Linked DNA regions of Cricetulus griseus. The protein of the gene in region 2 interacts with the protein of the main gene of each other region in a biochemical or structural test. Links are inferred from orthologs where the notes say so. Each region holds a gene or a part of one and is shown on either strand. Other genes may lie near its edges.

Evidence for each region.
Region 1: the proteins of Btk (region 2) and inhibitor of Bruton tyrosine kinase form a complex in vitro, tested with the Homo sapiens proteins (2 studies listed by BioGRID). The link is inferred for Cricetulus griseus from reciprocal best matches to the Homo sapiens genes BTK and IBTK.
Region 3: the proteins of Btk (region 2) and Sh3bp5 form a complex in vitro, tested with the Homo sapiens proteins (2 studies listed by BioGRID, with this or other methods). The link is inferred for Cricetulus griseus from reciprocal best matches to the Homo sapiens genes BTK and SH3BP5.

The regions. Positions count from the first base shown.
Region 1 is NC_048597.1:195,941,815-195,945,998, forward strand, and holds the start of inhibitor of Bruton tyrosine kinase, read right to left. Parts: upstream 2,880-4,184; 5' UTR 2,675-2,879; intron 1-2,674. UniProt on the Homo sapiens protein: Acts as an inhibitor of BTK tyrosine kinase activity, thereby playing a role in B-cell development. Down-regulates BTK kinase activity, leading to interference with BTK-mediated calcium mobilization and NF-kappa-B-driven transcription.
Region 2 is NC_048604.1:45,526,285-45,530,408, reverse strand, and holds the start of Btk (tyrosine-protein kinase BTK), read right to left. Parts: upstream 2,917-4,124; coding exon 2,776-2,916; intron 1,884-2,775; coding exon 1,785-1,883; intron 1-1,784. UniProt on the Homo sapiens protein: Non-receptor tyrosine kinase indispensable for B lymphocyte development, differentiation and signaling. Binding of antigen to the B-cell antigen receptor (BCR) triggers signaling that ultimately leads to B-cell activation.
Region 3 is NW_023276807.1:188,330,190-188,333,836, forward strand, and holds the end of Sh3bp5 (SH3 domain-binding protein 5), read left to right. Parts: intron 1-1,088; coding exon 1,089-1,349; intron 1,350-1,673; coding exon 1,674-1,891; 3' UTR 1,892-3,180; downstream 3,181-3,647. UniProt on the Homo sapiens protein: Functions as a guanine nucleotide exchange factor (GEF) with specificity for RAB11A and RAB25. Inhibits the auto- and transphosphorylation activity of BTK. Plays a negative regulatory role in BTK-related cytoplasmic signaling in B-cells.

The DNA.
Region 1 (4,184 bases), on a different chromosome or scaffold from region 2:
AGTGGCCTAAGTGAGTTTGTTTGTTTGTTTGTTTTTAAGATATTAAAATGGAAGAGAACAGTGGTGAGAAGGAACTGGAGGGGAAGAAATGGAAAGTAGGTTTAATCAAAAGACCCTATATGCATGTAAGAAATTCTCAAACAAGAAAAAAAATACCGTTGGAAGCCCAGGTAGAGTTTCAGATGGGCACAGGTATTTGTGGTGGTATGAATGATAATGCCCCCAAAAGATCCAATGTTTAATGTCTGGTCCTCACTTAGTTGAACAGAGTTAGGGTGTGGCTATGTTGGGAAAGTGTGGCCTTGTTAGAGGTATGTCATTGGGGGTGGGCTTTGAAGTTTCAAAAGCCCACACTAGGCCCAGTCTCAGTGTCTCTGTCTCTCTGCCTCTATTTGGAGGATCAGACTTGAGCTCTGAACTACTGCTACAGAGCCATGCCAGCATGCCTGCTGCCAATGCTCCTTGTCAAAATATCAAGGACTAACCCTGAAACTGTAAGCACGCTAATAACAATTCAATATTGTCTATAAGTCACTTTGGACATGGTGTTTCACAATAGCAGAACAGTAACTAAGACTGTGTAATAGAATACACAATGCTCAGATTCTGAATTCAGAACACCCAAGCTAGTTAAGGCAAGTACATAACTACCTAAGGACCCTGAACATACCACTTACTTTCTCTAAGTTTCAATATTTTCACTTGTAAAAAGGAGATTTAAAGGTATCTCTTGACCTGTTCTAAGACATCTTGGTAAATAAGTCAGAAAACATCTATACTATATTAGGACCCTTTCTTTTTGAAATACTTGTCAACCAAATCTTTAAAAGGCTACGTTTCAGTGCTTATAAAATAGTATCTACCATCTTTTGAACTTTCATATGGACATGTACATACAGAGCTTTACCTAAAGTAACGAAGTCTCATTTCAACCCTACTAGTGACTATAAATATGACTACCTTACCATGAGGAAACAAGTAGCCTACCTAAAAATCATACAGAGAGAGGAGTGCCCTGGATGGCACTTGTTAAACAACTGGCTCTCAGACAACATTTAGGAATGTCAATAGGATATAACACTGTGTAGTCAAGAAAAACTGTCCTTGGGGTTGCTACACCTAGAACCATAGACAAGTGACTCGAGGTCCCTATTCCTCCATTTCTTCCTTTGTGAGCTACTGACAATGACCTCCCTTGGAGATACATGCCTTGCTGACATGTGTCCTTGCAGGATGGGAGGGAAGCACGTTATACTTCCTCTTAATTTTCACAATCAGTAAGCAGGACTGTTTTCACTGAGCTCTTTAACACCAAAACACCTCCCCTGTACACCTGTATCTTTATTAATGTAAGTGCTACAAGCTGCAGATTACAAGTCATAATCAGAGAAAAGTTTTTATAAACCTAAACACATTTTTAAAAATAAGCACTTACAATGGTTTAAATAATTTAGTTCTATTGATACTGTAATTCATATCGTTCTCAAATATTCTCTGTGTAAAAGACCTAGAAACTTAGTTTAGGTCAGTATCTATCTCGTTTTCATAAAAGAAAATCTGCCCAAAATTTAGGGGGCAATAAGTGCATCCGGATGTGGCAAAGCAGTAGTCCCCCGTAATAAGAAACTAATTTGTGTCACTGAAAGTAACAAGTCATACCGACATCCTTTAGTAAGTACACTCATTCAGTCTAGAAGTTTACAATCCAGAAGCATCTTGAAAGTTAAGAAGGAAGTGAAATCATCACACAAAAATTAGCATACCGAAAGTCCTTCAAAAAAGTTTTATTAAAAGTGAAAACCAACATAGCCAACCTTTTTCTTCAAACTGCGATATGACTAAAGTTTTGCAAACACTTTTTTAGAAAACACGTTTAAAAAAAAAAAAGTTCTGTCTCCACATTTACCATGAAGTAGGTCTAACACAATAAAAAACAAATCAAAATATTTCAACAAGGAAGTGAGGCACTGACCAAAAATGCCTGCGAATTTGCATTAGGGAGGTAGCAACACTATTTAAAAACGAAAAAAAAAAAATGTAATCTTTTAAGGCACCACCACTCTTTTCAGTATGTCTGACGAATTTCTTCAAATGTCTTACTTCGAGGTAAAAGAACAGGGCTACTCAGCATTTGCTTGTTGCAAAACATCCCCTCTGGCTAACACAACTCAAGTTTTACGACTAAGTTGGAACATCAGATAATCAAGTCAAACCTGGCCTTAGGTATGGGGTTGGCCACTTCCCCTCTGAACTAACATTCCCTTGCAACCTGATAGCTACGAGCCAAAGGCCTCTTTATCCTATCTCTGCACAACAGACACAGTCCCTCTCCACCCAGCAGTAAATCTTTCTGCAAACTCAGCAAGGTCCACCTGAGCTCAGACTTTGTAAACTCCACTAAGGGTTTAGGGGACAAGGGAGCCTCTAGGAAGTGACGCCAGACAACTCTCGGAACTAGAAGTGCAACGTCGCTGGAGGGCGTGTCGGGCAGCCGGGCGACGTAGCACTTCGCGGGACCAGGCCATTCATTAGCTGGAGGGGGCGGCGGGGCTGCGCTCCCGGGCCACTCGCCCGTGCCACGCGGCGCGGAGCTCGAAGCCACCCCTCCGCGAGTCCCCTCCCCGGGCCCTGCTCCCCCGCCGGGCTGGCAGGACGCCGTCGCCTCCTCCCTCACCAGTCGCTAGATGAAGGTGCGCCGGGGGTCTCCGCTGGGAAAGCGCGCGGCCGCGCAGGGACTCATCTTCAGTGAAGGCGACAGGGGACAACGAAGGACGCCAGGAACCGGGCTGCCCGAGTCGGCTCCGGAGGCGGCTGCAGCGACAGCCGCGAATGCCGGCGCCGGGACGGGGTTCGGGGACCTGGGCTAGAGCGGGCGGGACTCGGGAACAAGGCAGGCGCTGATTGGCTGGAGTTCGTGTATACCCCACGGTGATTGGTCGGGGCCTGCCCACAAGGCCTAGCGTGGCAGCACCTCAGCTGTGGCCTTCCCCTAGAGTCCCAGAGGAACTTGACCCTGCCGGCCTTGGGGCTGTAGACACTGGCTTGCCGCCTTGCACCCAGAACCAGCAGTGTCCCTCTTGGTGCCAGATGTCATCCTAGTAGATCTGTCTCCCGGCAGGTCAAGACTCGGAAGGGAGAATACGGCCGGGACGGAGAAAACAAGAAGCTGGCTGGATACCCAAGCAGCCGTCACCACTCAGTGAAAGCATAGGCATCTTAGCAAAGTGGGGTGACTGGGAAACCAGAGGTGTCCTCTCCCCAAGAGTCAGCCCTGCTGCTCTGTGAGCCCCTGATGTACCCGGATTGTCTGAGTGTCACTCCCTTTGTCAGAAAGCACTATAGCATTTTCAGATTCCCCACTGTTCGATCAGCTGCTGACTTAGGTCACATCACTCATCACTCGGTACCTGAGGCAAGGCTTGCAATAGGTTTTCTCCCTTTAACTCTAAATCTAAAGGCCATTTTAAAAGTTGAAAACTGTTACGGAGAAAAGCAAGCCAATAATCAGTCCAGTATGGGAAACACACTGCTGCTGCTGAAGTCTGATACAGAGGCGCTTAAGTAAATAAGTATTCAGGGAGGAGTAGCATGACTCAGAGAAGAAAAAAAAGAAAAAAAGAAAAACAGCGCTAGGATCCTGGAGTTGGTTGAACCTCTCTGTCATGTTTGTGTTACTATATGAGCCACTAGCACTCTTAATCTAATAAACAGAGTTAAACTCGGTATCTTCTTATGCTGGTTCAGCCTGATTACCTGTTTTGTAGACTTTGTAGAACATTAAGTTGCTAGTGCAAAGTGAGGAAGAAATGAACACTGGAGACCTAGTTCCCCAGCTCTCCCAGTACAAGGACTTTCTTTGCTTTCCTACTTCCTACTTTGACGTGTAACAAAAACCAGTCTGTAGTGTCTAAACAATGAGTGGAAGCTGTTTATGATAATCACACATTGATGAACAAAGGAGCCCAGTGATCCAAAACTAATATAAATAAATGTGTTGACCTGAGCTCACATCTATTATCTATCTCTTCCTTGGATCCTCTGAGTAAATCATTTAGGTTTTCTGAAGCCTTATTTCCTCATCCACAAAGTGTATTTTTGCTATGGTGAACATGTATCTATAGCATTGAATAGAGTGCCAAACACACAATTAACACTACACACACACACACACACACACACACACA
Region 2 (4,124 bases):
AGGGCCAAATAACTGGCTCAGAGTGTAAAGGCACTTGTCACCAAGCCTGAATACCTGAGTTCACTCTCCAGGAACTCCGTAGTGGAAATTGATAGACAGATTACATATAGACAGACAGATAGATACATCAAAAGTTTAGCCAAGCATGCTGATGCACGCCTTTAATCCTAGCACTCAGGGGGCTCCATAGTCTCAAATAGACAGATAGATAATTAATTAAAACATTTTAAAGGGAAAAGAAGAAGGAGAGGGACAGAGAAAGACACTTACCTGACTTGGACCTCTGGCTTCCACATGCACACAAACAGGTTTACATACATTTACACACACTTATACATACATATACACACCCAGAAAATAAATAAATAAATCTAAAATGCCAACTCCCTCCCCCCAAAAATACAGGTAGCTTGCAAAGCAAGATATATAGTAGCATTGTATTCTAGTTATATAATATATAGGTGCATGTGTATCGCTAGTGGAGAAAACATATTTAAACCTGTATATACCAGAATGATAATTATTATTTAAATGAATAATGGGTTTATATATCTTTTTATCTTAGTTTTGTGATTTCTATATTTTTCCATTTTCTATCCTAGATATGCATAATCTTATAAACAGGAAAAATAAAATGACAAAAAAATCAATTCAGTAATCATCCGGTGCTATTCCTTGGAAACAGCCTGGGAATTCAGGAAGAATAAAGCTGACTTGTTATCACCAATTCATGGAAGACTGAAGACTTTTCGGGCTGGAAAGATGGCTCACTGGTTAAGAGTACATAACTATTCTCCCAGAGGATCCAAGCTTGGTCCCAAGAAGACACGTCCACTCACAACCACCTGAAATTCTAACTCAGGGATCTGACGCTGGCCTTTGTATACACACAATGCACACACTCAACACACACACACACACACACACACACACACACACACACACACACACACACACTGGCCTCTGTATACACACAATGCACACACTCAACTCACACACACAATTAAAAATAAAATATATTTTCAAAAAAAGCAAGCAAATTCTCTTTTGGCAAATTCTTTTTTAATCTCTCTCTCTCTCTCTTTCTGTCTGTCTGTCTGTCTGTCTGTCTGTCTGTTTGTCTGTCTGTACGTACTTATTTTCCAGAGCATGCCTGTGGGGGTCAGAGGATAGCTTCCAGTGTCAGTCCTCATCTTCCACCTTCTTTGAGACATGGTCACTTTTTCAGTCGTTGCATATGCCAGACTAATTGGACCTTGAGTTTCTAGAATTCTCCTGTCTCCACCTCCCATGTTGCCACAGGAGGGCTGAGATTTCAGGTGCGAATACACTCCTGGGTCTGGCTTTAGGTGGGTTCTGGGGATTCTTGCCTGGCAAGCACTTTACCACTGAACCATTGCCTAAATGACAAGCTTTTCTTTCTTTCTTTCTTTCTTTCTTCCTTCCTTTCTTTCTCTTTCTTACATTTTTGCTTTCTATGTGTTTCGTGTGTGTGTGTGTGTCCACACTCGTACCACAGTTCTCATGTGGAGGTAAGCAGACAATTTTCAGGAGTTGGTTCTCTCCTTCCACTGTGTGAGGTTCAAGGGATAGAACTCAAGTCATCAGACTTGCCAGCAATTTCCCTTACCCACTTGGCAATCTCACTGGCTCCTGATGAAGAGTTTCTAAAGAAACAAAACTGTTCTACAATGCACTACAACACCACCATTCTATTTGGAGTATTTGCAAGTTCCAAGCGCCTTACAAACTGCAGCTCCCCCTCTTTGACACTAGCTTCTTACCGGAATCTGTCTTTCTGGTGGAGGATTTTTTTCAGGAACTACTGTCTCAACGCAGGTGATCTTCTCAACATCTATTGAACCTTTCTTACTGCCTCTTCTCTGAAGGAAGGAGGAAGAAAACGCAGGAAGATTAAGAATGATCAAGCGTTCAGACGTTTACACACATTGTTATCTTATCATCCTCTGTGGTAGGTAGCTCACATATTCTAACAGATCCTGGTTTCTCTTTGTTTGGGGTCTCACTATGTAGCCCTGGCTGGCCTGGAACTCACTATGTAGACCCGAGTGCTGGCATTAGTGTGTGCCATTGTACCTGGCAAAACCTGTCATTTTTAAAGTAAAAAATAATCCAACATTTATCTAGTCTTTAAATACCAAATAGGAGGAAGATGACAAGGAAGAATAAATGATTATAGTCAATTTCGTCACAAGAAACAAAAAAGGCAGGCTGGGTGGTGGTGCCACACACCTTTAATCCCAGCACTGAAGGGCAGGGGTTCTCAGTAAGTTCGAGGGCAGCCTGGTCTACAAAGCAAGTTCCAGGACAGCCAGGACTGTTACACAGAGAAACCCTGTCTCAAAAAACAAAAACAAAAACAAAAACAAAAAACAAAACAACAACAAAAAAACCCACCACCACCACCAAAAAACCAAACCAAACAAAATGACAACAGGGAATAGAAATAAAAAAGGCAACTTTGAATCCTTGGATTGTATTCTCAAGAGGCATGTAAAGAGCTTTTACCAACCGCAAGATTCCATGGAAGACACTCTGAACAGCTTCTAACACTCTTGAATTTTTCCCTGGCTTGACTGCACCTACTCCCAGTCTAAGAAATATTTTTTAAGAGTTTGAAGTACTTAAGTCTATTTTATTTCTACCCCCACATACACCTCCCCTTCTACCATGGATGACCTATCTCATGTCTCACATATCTAAGATCCAATCCTTGAAATGGAGAAATCCAGACTTCACGTTTGGGAAACTTACCCCACGTTCAAAGTCATACTCATAGTAGGAAAGTTTTTGCACAGTCAAGAGAAATAGGCGCTTCTTAAAGTTTAAAGGTGAGGTTTTCTTTTTCTGTTGGGAGCGCTTCAGAAAGATGCTCTCCAGGATCACTGCAGCCATGGCTTCCTCTCTCCAGATCTCACCTGGGTGCTGTGGATAATGCAAGGTTTTGAGGATCTAGCATAGTCATCTCTAATCCCTCCTGGTTCTACCTCTGCCCTGCTACCTGTTTTAAATGAAACCCTCACGTGCAACACTAGCAAGGAAACATTTTTCCTGACCTCCTTCTTCCAAAGTCCCCAACTCTGTCAAATTTCAGAATCAGTGAATGCACACTGAACAAAGCCTGGCTTCTTACATAAGGGAACCAATGTTCTAGATAATCCACGACATATACTAGGTTGTTTAGCAATGTCTAGACACCACTCTAAACTACTTAACCTTTTTATGACACACGGCCAGAATCTGTAAATGGCAAAAATGTCTGTGAAACTCTTGACCCTGATATTCTCAGAAGGAATCATTCAGGTACCAGAATTTCACTAAGGCAGATACTGGACTTTCAGTTCCCAGTTTCCTGAACAATAAATGTAATTTTTTTCAAAAGCTGACCAATTCAGGTCTGTAGACAAAAGAACATTGGTGGGTTCACCTGTACTCATGAACACACAATAGCTGCCATTCGACTGATTTAGTTCATGCCTTACTGTCTGGGTTATAAAGGAGTGAAGCTTTGTTTCCAAGTTGAAAACCGTTTTACTACAGTATATTAGTGCTTCGGCTCTCGCTCCCATTACGGTTTCCACAGATGATTCCCTTTAGATGGCACCAGGTAAAAGTGATGTAACCTGCAGCCTTCCGTTTCCAGCACCCATACCATGGCTTGCACCCACCCGTAACTCCAGTTCTAGGATATTCGGCGCCTTCTTCTGACCTCCATGGACACCAGACATGCAAGTGGTACATGTTGCGATAAAGCTTGAAGGGAACCTTGCATGGGGGACCTTGGTGGATTCCATGGCAGGCAAGGGTGACCAGGCGGGAAGCAGGGGGAGGGTGGCAGGGGGACAGGGACGGACATGCTAGGCAGACAGAGCTTAAGTGAGAAGTTTTATTGGAAAGGGGAGGGAGGAGGAAGGAAAAAGAAAAGAGGTAAAGAGGCAGAGACACACAGAGAGGACAGAAACGAAGAGGGAGACAGGAAACGTCCTGCCTGCCCCAGGGGAACCGCGGGGAAGACAGCTGGAAAGAGAGAGCAGGGAGAGAAGAGCAGGGAGAGCTGGAAAAAGAGAACCGGAAAAGAGAGCATAAGTGGGCGGGGTCTTTCT
Region 3 (3,647 bases), on a different chromosome or scaffold from region 2:
GTGTATGAGTGTTTTTCCTACATGTGTATCTATGTATACCACATGCTTGCCTTGTGTTAGAAGATGTCAGATGCTCTGGAATTGCAGGCATTTGTGAGCTTCTATGCGTATGTTGGGAATCAAACCTGGGTCCTCTGGAGGAGCAGCAGGTGCTCTTAACCACTGAGCCATTTCAAGCCCCATCCTCAGCAATTCTTGAAAGCCATCAACAAATGCTGAGTTGCCAGGTTGAAGGGAAATGAAACTATAATGTAATCAGTGGCTATGAGTGAGTTACTTTATACATCACTTCATTAATCCTGTCCATAGAGCATTTGAGCAGTCAAGTTGCTTGACAAGGCCACACAGTCAACAGTGGAGTTAGGATCTGAATTCATTCAGTCTGTCTGAAGCAGTATAGTACTTAGAACAATCCTCTCAGGAATGCTAGAGGCCATTTTTAAAGATGCCATAGGTGTAAAGGGAACTAGGAAGGATTTTAGAAGCGAGAATGCAGTCTGAGAGGCTCTGAAAACAAGATGGTATGTCTCTGTGCCTTGGTTATTCTGGTCCACAGATTCAGGCACAGTCAGAGCATTGAAAATGAATGTTCTTTGTTGCAAACAGTTAAGGGCATCTCGTGAGATCAGAAGATACTACAGACATTCCAACAGCTCTTGCTGCTTACGCCAGAAGGAAGACCTTCAGTCTTCACTGTAAGATTGCCTCTGTGTAGGACACATTTCAAAGGGCTAGTGTCTAAATTTATCTGTCTTCCCTTTCCTTCAGTGCTGGGGATGGAAACCAGGCCTTTGTATATACTAGACACGCACTCTGCCCTAGCCATCCCTAGCTGTCCTTTATCTAGGTAGCACTTGCTGGCACAGAATTAGAGCAGGAGTTAAATTCCTCTAGAACACAAACTTTGCACAGGAGCTAGCTGCTGCTTCCTTTCAAATGCTCTGGAGGCTGGTCAGAAGAAGGCTCAGGAAGGTTGTAGGTCCTGCCGACTCCATGCTGTGGGACTGCCTGCCCGCAGAGAGCAAGCCTTTAGGAACTGGGGTACTACTTAGCAGACTCCATGTGACTGATGTTCTCTCTCACCATAGTGGCTTCCGAAGCCTTTGAAGACGACAACTGTAGCAACTTAGTGTCTGAAGATGACTCAGAAACCCAGTCTGTATCCAGCTTTAGTTCAGGACCAACAAGTCCATCTGAAATTCCTGACCAGTTCCCTGCAGTGGCAAGACCCGGCAGCTTGGATCTGCCCAGCCCTGTGTCCCTGTCTGAATTTGGAATGATGTTTCCAATACTGGGCCCTCGAAGTGAATGCAGTGGGGCCTCCTCCCCTGAATGTGAGGTGGAACGAGGTAAGTTGCAACCCAACTTGTGGATTGTTTGTGCCTTTGCTTGGGCTCTGCCTGACCAGCTTCAATAACATAGAACTTAGGTCCTTTGTCTCTCCTTAGAACAGTCCCCTTCACTGGTTTGATTCCTAGCTACAAAATGAGGATGAGTGTATCTCTAAAGATACACACTAAGGAATAAATGCAGTGTATCACCCAGTGCTGGAGAACCCCTGAGATGCATGGTGGGTGGCGTGGGAACTGCAGAGGGCTCAGGCGGCTGATGCCAGTGCCTATGGTACTCTTGGAACTGTCAACTCCCATTTGGCAACCTTTGTATCTCTACAGGAGACAGAGCAGAAGGGGCTGAGAATAAAACGAGTGACAAAGCCAACAACAACCGCATTTTCGGCAACAGCAACAGTGGTGGTAGCAGGGGCAGGAGCCAAAGCAGCACATCCCTTGAGGGCCAGACCTTGGAAACCCGTATGAAGCAACTCTCTCTACAATGCTCAAAAGGAAGAGATGGGATTATTGCTGACATAAAAATGGTGCAGATTGGCTGATCCATGTGCAATGGATGGCTATGGATGGCTATGACCCATGTGCAAATCACATTTATACATGAAACTCAAGAAACATCGTGCCAATAATCATTTAACATAAGCCAAATAGTATGCATTTACTCTAAACTGCACTAACCAAGTTTCAGTGATCTTGAGGGCTGAAGAATTTCCCTCTGATAAGAGCTCTTGGGCTGGTGTGTTTTTCAGAGCAGAGCCATTGCAGATAAACTGTGACCAGGGTCACAGCCTTTGCAGAACATTCCCTGTAGCGGCAGTGTGGAAGCAATAACTAGTTTCTGTGAAAGAACCTGAGCCAGGAGGAGAACTGGACACTTAGCCAGACTGGGGTCACCAGCCTACATCTCTATCCCCTCTGCCCCCTCTGTTTGGGGAAACTGAGATGTTTTCTCCATTATATCACAGGGCACCAAAATAATTTTCAAACTCACACAAAAACTCAAGTGTTCAGAACACATTGTTTTGACCTAGTGAAAGCTTAAAAACAATGCCAAGAACACAATTCATCTTCATCACCTCTGGTGCTCAGAGGGGGATTTAAAAAAAAAAAAAAAAAAAAAAAAAAAAAGCATGTCTTCTGGGACACCAATTAAAACCATTTCCTAGGAAAGCCACCATGAACTGCACTTTTGGGGGGTGGGAAAGGTGAATGAATGCCAATGTGGGGATGGGTAATGAGGTTGCAGGGACATAGCATAGAGGGGATTTGTGGCTGTGGGAGGCTCTATAGCCTGACTTTAGCCTGCCAGCCAAGGGGGGGTATATTCTAAGACAAGTGCATGTGAAGAATGGTTGCCACTGTTCTATCTAGACTGACAAGAAGTTAATTTCTCTGTAGGCTGTAACTTCTACAATAATTGCAATTATTTAAGGTTTATGCTGCACCTAGTATTCCTTAGAGGAAACGGTCCTTAAAGCTAGGAAAGGGAGTGGGCATGTACTGGCAAAGGCTGGTAAATAGAAGCAATGGATGCCATGATAATAGTGTGTTTAGACTTAGTGTTTATGGTTATGCATATTTAGGGCACTGTATTTTATCTGTCCTGTTTTATTGATTTGGCTTTTCTGAAGAAAAAAGCACCCCCTCCTCCATTTCTTAATTGTCTCTTAATTCTGTCACAGCTTGTATATTTTAGCCATGTATGTATAGCTTCATACAACAGTGGTTTCTCCTTTTTTATTGATGGATACAGTATCCTAATTACAAGGTTATTTTGTACTTGTTTTAATACCTTGAGGGTAATAAAAACTAAGAAAACTTTGTGACTTCAGATGAGAAAGCCTGCTGTTGTCTTACTCTGGGAAATGCCATCGCTTTAAGAAAGCCCATAGAGTGCAGTGGGCATCTGCTCTCTTTTTCAGGTAAGATGGTAATCCTGGTCATTTAAGATCAATCCCAAGGTCTGGATTCGAATTCTACTCATGCATGGTGTTACACAGGTGTGCACCAAGGAGAGACAGGCAGGCAGCCCACAGGTGACACTCAGCTTCACTGGGGTGGGGGTAGGGGTGGGATAGGGGCTAACATCCTGTGATATGGTTTGTCAGTCTGATTTAATTTGTGGTACACCTGGGCACTTTTTCAAAGGAGTATCAGATTTTAATGTATATGCTGCATACTGAAATGTGTTGTGGGATAAGTGCCCAGTTAGTGTTGCCTATTAATGTTCTCAGAAGTCCCTTTCAACTGCTCTGTTCCCTGTAGCCGAGACTTTGTTTATTTCTCCTTCCTATCAAC